2 linked regions of the Schizosaccharomyces pombe genome follow. Changing the gene in region 1 together with any one later gene gives a genetic interaction. Each region holds a gene or a part of one and is shown on either strand. Other genes may lie near its edges. The genes, in order: SPOM_SPCC162.03 and opy1.

Region 1 (3,881 bases):
AATCAAAGAATACACCATTTCTTTTGACACGTCTTCCTAACCGGCCTTTAATGGTGATTCCCAATTTTCCTTTATAAGAATTCCAAACCGCCAAGTCAGCAAATCGCACTGCTGGTTGACCATCATAATTTATAAACGTAGAATTACGGGATTGAATAGTTTCAGCATCATCGCCTACATAAGGCTCCGATTGTACATCGGTCACAACACAAACAAAGCCCTCGCAACCAATTTTTTCAGGAACAGCTTCGTTATCCTCAGTGACTAACATTAGTTTTTTAACGGTTTTACCAGGGAAATAGACAAGCTCTTTGTTATGCAGTGTGTCTTTCCCATTGTAAGCCAAAAATGAAACCAATCCCGACTCAGTAGTACCATACTGTGGATAAATGGTCGCATTTGGTAATACTCGTTTGCATGTATGATACATGTTTGCAGGGACCATTTCACCGCCTGCTGCTACTAGTTTACAAGCAGGAAAGCATTCTTCCTTGTCAGGCATTATTTGGAGAGTTAGAACAAGGAGATTGGGTAAAATAATTAAACGTTCGCATCCAGCACGAAGAGCATAGTAAACATTCCAAGCAAGCCGTTCAGCCTCTGAAGTGCAAGTAGCCGATATCGAAGAGGATGGGTACAGTAAGTTCCCATTACAATACAAGGCATTAATCCAACTCAAGGTTGTTAAAGCAAAGCTGGTAGCCATTACCATTGGAGTGGAGAGATGATTCATAAATTCAGGAGTTCCATAGTCATAACCCAAAGCATATTTCTTCATGAGAAATGGCATGGATTTAGGGACTCCTGTGGACCCACTAGAATGGTTAATAAGAGCGACTTCCGGCTCTAATCCAGCTCGAATACAAGGAGCATCGATATCCAGCGGCAGCGAAGCCAAGGATGTAGCATTTAAGGTGTCCACCTCAAACTTGGGCTTATATTCATGATAAAGCAAATCAGAAATATTCAAACGTTTAACAAGTACACGAACAACTTGCTGGGACCAAATTTGGTTAAAAATAACGCAGGTTCGTCCAGTAGCCCATAAAGCAAATATAGAACACAGAAAATCCAACTCGTGTCCCATATGTATTCCAACTGTCTTTCCCAAGCCTAAATCATCACAAAATTTAGCAATTGTGTTAACACGACGAAGTAATTCTGTATATGTATATTTAGCAACAATTCCACGTTCATTGTACACGGAGATAAACCGATGATCTGGTGTTTCTTTTGCGTTTTTCAAAAGGCGAGCGATTGGTGTATCTTCTTCTTTAGATATGGATGAAAACGAAACTGATTCTGACGAATCGCACAGCATTTTTTTTTAAATATTTTCAATACCAGTATCAACTAAAGAAGCAACCTTGAAATGACAAACAGCAAATTTCGTAAAGTTAAAAAGTTAACACTTCTTGTTTCAAATCGGTCTTCTATGCTAACGATACATTAATCTCACTGCATGTAAAAAAACCAGGATCCGGCTATAGGAATCCGACTCCATTGCCCTCAATAAGAGTATACAGTATCCGGAAGAACATATTGTATTCTTACAACTTTAAGAGTTAACTAACTTAATTCACAAATTGTTCAGGACATTGAGACAGCGGTATGGTGGTGAGTTTTGAGACGTAGCGCAAGCACTACATTACTGAGCCTATCTATATCCCTTTATAGGATTCTTTTATACGATGAGCTACGGATAGTAGAAACGAAAAGTGTTTACAGACATCCGAACACCAACAACATCATCATACTTTCACTTCGAGAAATGAAGACTTAGGAAAAGCAATATCCAGCAAGTGGATTAGAGAGTTAAGTTAAGCAATTCATTGTTAAGAAGCTCAAAAGAATCAGGGTTTGTCTGTTACGCGACGATTGTGAACTACTCGAATACCATTTGAAAAGGCTTACTACAACAGTAATCGGGTAAAAACGGGCTTGGTTGAGAAAGCAAAAAAATTGTTTAATTGTACAATCGTGGTGTCTCAAAAGACGAAACACGATCATAAGAAACAATGAAATCTACGTTTTCTACTGTACTCATTACTGGGTCATCCAAAGGATTGGGCTATGCATTGGTGAAAGTTGGATTGGCCCAAGGTTATAATGTAATAGCTTGTTCTCGTGCTCCCGACACAATAACCATCGAGCATTCAAAATTATTAAAGCTCAAATTAGATGTTACAGATGTGAAGTCTGTTGAAACCGCTTTCAAAGATGCAAAGAGGCGATTTGGAAACGTAGACATAGTGATCAACAATGCAGGGTATGGCCTTGTTGGCGAATTTGAATCATACAACATTGAGGAAATGCATCGTCAAATGAATGTAAATTTTTGGGGAGTTGCATACATTACCAAAGAAGCGTTGAATCTCATGCGCGAATCCGGTAAAGGAGGGCGTATTTTACAAATTTCGTCAGTCGCAGGTTATTACCCATCTCCGTGTTTAAGCATGTATAATGCTAGCAAATTTGCTGTCGAAGGGCTTTCGCAAACAATTATGAGAGAGTTAGATCCGAATTGGAACATTGCGATAACTATTGTACAGCCAGGTGGCATGCAAACAGAATGGGCTTCCTCTAATATGCAATGGGCAAAACCTCATCCAGCCTACGAAAATGACAGGTCTTGGCGACCATTTTGGGAAAACTATCATGGCTGCGAGGAAACTGACCCGAACAAAGCTGCGGAGTTGTTATATAGCATTGCCAAACTCGACAGGCCGCCTCAAAAGCTTGTCCTAGGCCACGATTCCTTGGAATTAATCCGCAAGCAACATCAAGACATAGGGGAAGAGCTTGAAAGTAATGTTGCACTTAGTACAAGTGTTGCAAAGGATGATTTTGATCCAGCTTCGGTAGAAACTTTGCGTCAAAATCTTCAATCTATGTGATGAAGGCATACAAGAATTTTTTTTGATCTCGTTGAATAGAATTAAATGAAGAGTTGAATGTATATGAGGATCGCAAAACGATCATTTCCTTATTTACACATTCATATGAGAAAATGCAGTCAAACAATTTCTAAAACTACAATGCATTGGTTCAAATATTAATGAACTTGTCTGCATTTATTTTCTTTGCACAAATTTTTCACTTTCATACTTCGTAAAAAAAAATGTGTATTTCACTGATTAAGAAACGTTCCAAATTACCAATTAATGCTATTCATTTGAATATAACACCACTTCTGTTGCTTCTTCATAAATTCTGAATAACAAACATCAGTGTCTATACTGTTTAGTAAGGCTACGGACAAAAATTTGTGCCTCTAATGATCTAGCGTCAGAACATTAGAATTGTCACAAATTTTAAAAATTAAGATCAAAGTAAAGTACATGAATCTCCATTGTATTGTATTAGAATCCGTGTTTATAATTATGCTCCGTAACATAACATATACTAATCTTACCTACTTCTAGCTTCGTCTTTTCATTGTTTATCAAATAGTGAGCTGCGAAATAATGTGGATTGTGTCAGCAATACTACACTACGCTATAATACACTACGTTGCGTATCACTATATGTCACATGTATATATAGTACCATGTATGATACGATATTGAGATTGATCTTAATGATAATCTATCAAGATCTATATTATCTGAATAATATAAATAGAGCTACTGCTGAACCTCGTTCCTCAGTTCAGTTATGAGCTATATTAGTGATAGGTAACATTATAACCTAATTAATACAATACCTATACTCAGTTGCTACTCATATAACCTGTGTAATGTAATATAATAGGTCACAAGGAAAACTCACCGCAGTTCTACGTATCCTTAAATCAGATACCAAACTGCGTAGCTAACATGAAGGAATCTCAAGCTAACTTAATAAAAAGGCAGTGACAGAATAAATGTGTCAGAAGCAAT
Region 2 (4,260 bases), 640 kb from region 1:
ATCCATGAATCATTTAATTAAGAAATATTATCTAGAAGCTCGCCTTTCTTTAACTGTTCATGACGAGGTTCGTTATTTATCATCAGATAAAGATAAATATCGGGTTGCATTTGCCTTACAGGTGGCTAACTTGTGGACTCGTGCGTTTTTTTGTCAACGACTTGGCATCAACGAGCTTCCACAATCTGTCGCATTTTTTTCTTCCGTTGATATTGACCATGTACTAAGAAAAGATGTTAAGATGGACTGTGTAACACCCTCTAACAAAGTCCCCATACCTCCTGGAGAAGAGCTTACTATAGAGTCAGTTCTAGAAAAACTCGAGCAGTCCGGTCAATCACTTGAGCCACTTGAGCAAATTCAGTGTTTTGTGGATGTTAAAGCTACTACTTCAGCAGAGATTACAGAAGAAGACAAAAAAAACATTGCATATTTAAAAGCACAAGCATTTTACTGATCAGCAAAAGAATAATTTATTTTAGTTAAAAAATGTGTTTTTCGGTTAGGATAATTTTAGGGATAGTTATGACATTGAAAATAATTTTCATCAAAAGGTTTGTTTAGTGGAGCGAACGATGGTACTACAAACTGGCTCATGACGAAGGAAAAAAATCATTAAATTAGAGCAAGAAAGACACTTTTGTAACTAGCTGTGTCGATTTTCGGACATTATCGGAAATATTATTAGACAAAAAAAAAACAACGAGATAGTCAAAACATATAGAAACAGAACGGATCAACACGTATGTACACGAAGGGTAAGGGGAGTCTTATGAAAGGAAATCACAAGAAGGTAGCTAGAAAAGTAGCTGAGGAATCGTATTATGCACCAAATATTTTGATGGAAAAGCCATTTTTAACAAGCAGTAAAAGTACCATTGGCCTTGTCAATAGAAGTCTTAAGTGCAGCAACCCAGAGTATAAGTGAATCTTCGTTATCAACGCGAAATTCGATAGGTTTGTTTTGCGTAATTACGGTAAAAAAGTATTTGTGTGAGCTTTCCGGAACGTTTATTTCAGCAACATCCTGAATGTCGGCTATCGGTATCACTTTAACAGGTTTGTACTCTCGGTTCGTGTTGTAAATAGTCATACCATATCCACGAACAACAGCCCAACACTTGGACCACCTATGTAAATTTCCATGTAGCCAGTGAATGGTTCCTTGCATAAGAACTTTATTTTCATCCAAGAGTTTATAGAGATTTTGTAAGGAAGCCGAATGCCTGTGCTTATTCAGCGTATTAACTTCTTGTGGGTTGAAGGGGTAATTTGCATTTTCTTCATTGATACCTGGTGGTCTCAACTTTCCAAACTGTATCAAATCATAAAGTGAAGTACAGAAATGGTCACCCTGACCAGTTTCCAAGTCTAAAGGAGAAGTCGTTTGATTACGAGGTTCAGTCGAAATATTGTCGAAGTCAGTATCAGAGATCTGAACGTTAGGCTCGCTTTCGGTTCGAGATGAAGAGTTCGCAAGGATATAACTGATAGGATGTCTTGAAAACGGTGCCCTATAACCCGTTGTGGATCTTAGAACATGAACCCATTCCTCAGCATCCTCATTTGAAGTGGCAATGAGACGAATTATCTTTTCATTTAAATACAGGAAAAAAGCTAAACATTAGATATAAACATCAAAAATTCTAACGTACTTTTTGGTGATTTTTCTTTGTAGTAGGCAACAGCTGAAATATCCTGAGTAGGGAAAATAAATTTGGTTTTGTACTCCTTGAAGACTGTTAGCGCGTCGTTGAAATTTGCACATTTTATTCACAAACCTTTTCGTCTTTGTAAAAAGATAACTGATCTCTGCGAAGAACAGCCCATAATTGCTTTTTAGTCTAGGTTGTTAGCATCCACTACAAAAAAAACCATGAGTGCAAATATTGACTCTGAAACGGGAAGCAAATAATTGGAATATTCTGAAAATCAATTGGTCAAAGTGCTTGTAGGGTGCTGTTTGCATCATCATATCCCCAAATCAAAAGCGAACAATAAAGAATTAAGAGTACGTATCATTCACTTCTAAGTACACTTCACAAAATTAAAGAATACTCCAAATCCCTTTCCACTCAAACGTATCGTAAATATTACTCAGACAACTAAGTTAATGAATACATACAGAAGTTGCATGTCCTTTCTTTATCAACCATCCGGATTTTAAAACACGCTCAAGCTCTGGAAGCCTTCTTGCTTCATCAAGGCTAGCAGTTCTGAGATGCGATGAAACTCCTGGGTCCATTTCATCAAGCGAATAGTCAAACTAATAAACGCCTTCTTTCTTTTGAATACATCAAGAAAATTCCTTAAACTGAAAGGTGTTAAACTAGAACGATGTAAAGTCGTCCTCTATACAGATTTTGGTTAAAATCACGTTTCCTAACGCATACGTGTTAGTGGTACCAGCGACGTACATATTCAGTAATAGCGTTCATTAACGTATCGCTATTTGTCAAGTGAAATTAAAATGTATGGTAGAGAAATTTCAATAATAGAAATGATAGTACGAATAAATTGTAGCAGTAGAATTGAGAAGCCTTCTTTTTGAAAAAGGTAGTCTGAAAATATGTCATCTTTATTTTGAGAGGCATACAACCATATAGTACATGGACACAGTAATCGTGTAGAAGTGCTACATCTCGTATACTAATTAAGAATCAAAAGAACTTTTGTAAATCCTACTGTTACAGAAATTCAACTTTAGGTTGTATTGGTGCACAGTGGTAAGGGATTGTTGTAAGGACTGGCAGGATGAAAACAAAAAAGCTATTTAAAGGGAGCACTTGTTCGCTGTAACAAAAAGAAAAGCAACAAGAAAGAAATACTTTTTTAAATATTTTTTAGAGAACCACTTTCTCTAATGTAGAAAGCGTTGGTCTTTCCCATTCGGTTCGAGACCTATGAAAGCTACTCAGTAGATACTGAGTTAGTAGGGAGTAGGGTTTAAACGTGATTTTAGCATGGTTTCTTGGAATAATAATAAAAATTCCCTTCCGTCCTCTATGCCATCTTCTTTATGCTTCACTTTACGTCCAGATAGTTGATAGTTTCCGGTCTTGTAAGATGATTATTGATATGGTAAATCAATCACAATCGAATGAAAGATAAAAGAATAAGAGTATGTAACCCTTTAAGATGGGAAATATATCAAGCAAGAATGGGGTTAAAAAAAAAACAATTTTAAAGTCATTAAATCCTTTTTAATACCATTAAATAGTACTAATTTTGCTCGTGAGTAACTAAGGTCGGGTAGCATAGTTGGTTATTGCGCACGACTGTTAATCGTGAGGTCGAGGGTTCGAGTCCCTCCCTGACCGGATTTTTTATGCTTCAAATCAACTGCAGCAAAAACATACGCTCAATCAATTTAATAGAAATTTGCAAACACCCAAGAACATGTTTAACTCAGTCAGTTTACTGCGAAGCTCACATCCAAAAAGCAGGTTTGATGGCGTTTTCCTTTCTACTTCATATGTTAGCTTAGCAACCAAAAATGCTTTATTGAGCCCGTTATGCTGTGAATTTCCAAGCTTTCGAATAAAATTGTTGCATTCGTGTTAAACAATAAAAAATATTTTCCCTACTATTACTGAAATAAAATGCCTTGAGTATCGGAAATCTTTTCAAAATTCAGGATACAAAAAAGATGCCAAATTTTTTTATATTAAATCAAAAAAAGTAAAAGACGTTGAAGTCTTTATTGTAATACCTCTATTAAATGATGGTATAAACTGAGGAAACCTATCAAATATACAGAACAAAAAAAATTATATCCATAGTAATAGTGGTCAAAAATTAGGTATACAAACAAGATTAATGGTGGAACAAACGCAAGGGGATCTCGGAAAAGACCATGTTGAACTCATTAGCAGTGTCGCGAACAGCTTGATCCATGACACTACCGCCAGGTGCAGCAACATATTTGACACCGCTTTGGGCAAGACGATAGATGTTGTCAGGGAAGGGGAAGAAGGCATCACTGGCACAGACAACATCCTTGCAAGTAGCCAAAAATTCCTCCCGCTCCTTTTTAGTAAGAGGCTCGGGAATAGTCTCGAATGCAGACTCCCATTGCTCACGTTCACTACCTTCAGCAGGAACGGCATCAAGGACGTACAAGTCAATAGCGTTAGATTTCTCAGGACGCTTAGCAGACTTCTTAAATTGCATACCCAAGACTTTAGGGTGATGACGAAGCCACCAGTTATCAGCCTTATCACCGGCCAAACGGTTGCAATGAATGCGGGATTGTTGACC

What was found.
Region 2: mutations in SPOM_SPCC162.03 (region 1) and opy1 together harm fitness more than expected from each alone (negative genetic interaction), as found in Schizosaccharomyces pombe (one large-scale study listed by BioGRID).

Annotation. Positions count from the first base shown.
Region 1 is NC_003421.2:1,581,920-1,585,800, reverse strand, and holds SPOM_SPCC162.03 (dehydrogenase), read left to right. Parts: upstream 1-1,781; 5' UTR 1,782-2,018; coding exon 2,019-2,897; 3' UTR 2,898-3,217; downstream 3,218-3,881. Other genes in the region: SPOM_SPCC162.02C (AMP-binding dehydrogenase), read right to left, coding at 1-1,321.
Region 2 is NC_003421.2:944,016-948,275, forward strand, and holds opy1 (protein opy1), read right to left. Parts: upstream 2,370-4,260; 5' UTR 2,246-2,369; coding exon 2,126-2,245; exon of another isoform or gene 1,845-2,125; coding exon 1,782-1,844; exon of another isoform or gene 1,732-1,781; coding exon 1,656-1,731; exon of another isoform or gene 1,618-1,655; coding exon 857-1,617; 3' UTR 501-856; downstream 1-500. Other genes in the region: pog1 (DNA polymerase), read left to right, coding at 1-457; ade10 (bifunctional IMP cyclohydrolase/phosphoribosylaminoimidazolecarboxamideformyltransferase), read right to left, coding at 3,817-4,260. UniProt on the Schizosaccharomyces pombe protein: Binds phosphatidylinositol 4,5-bisphosphate (PtdIns(4,5)P2/PIP2) at the cell membrane.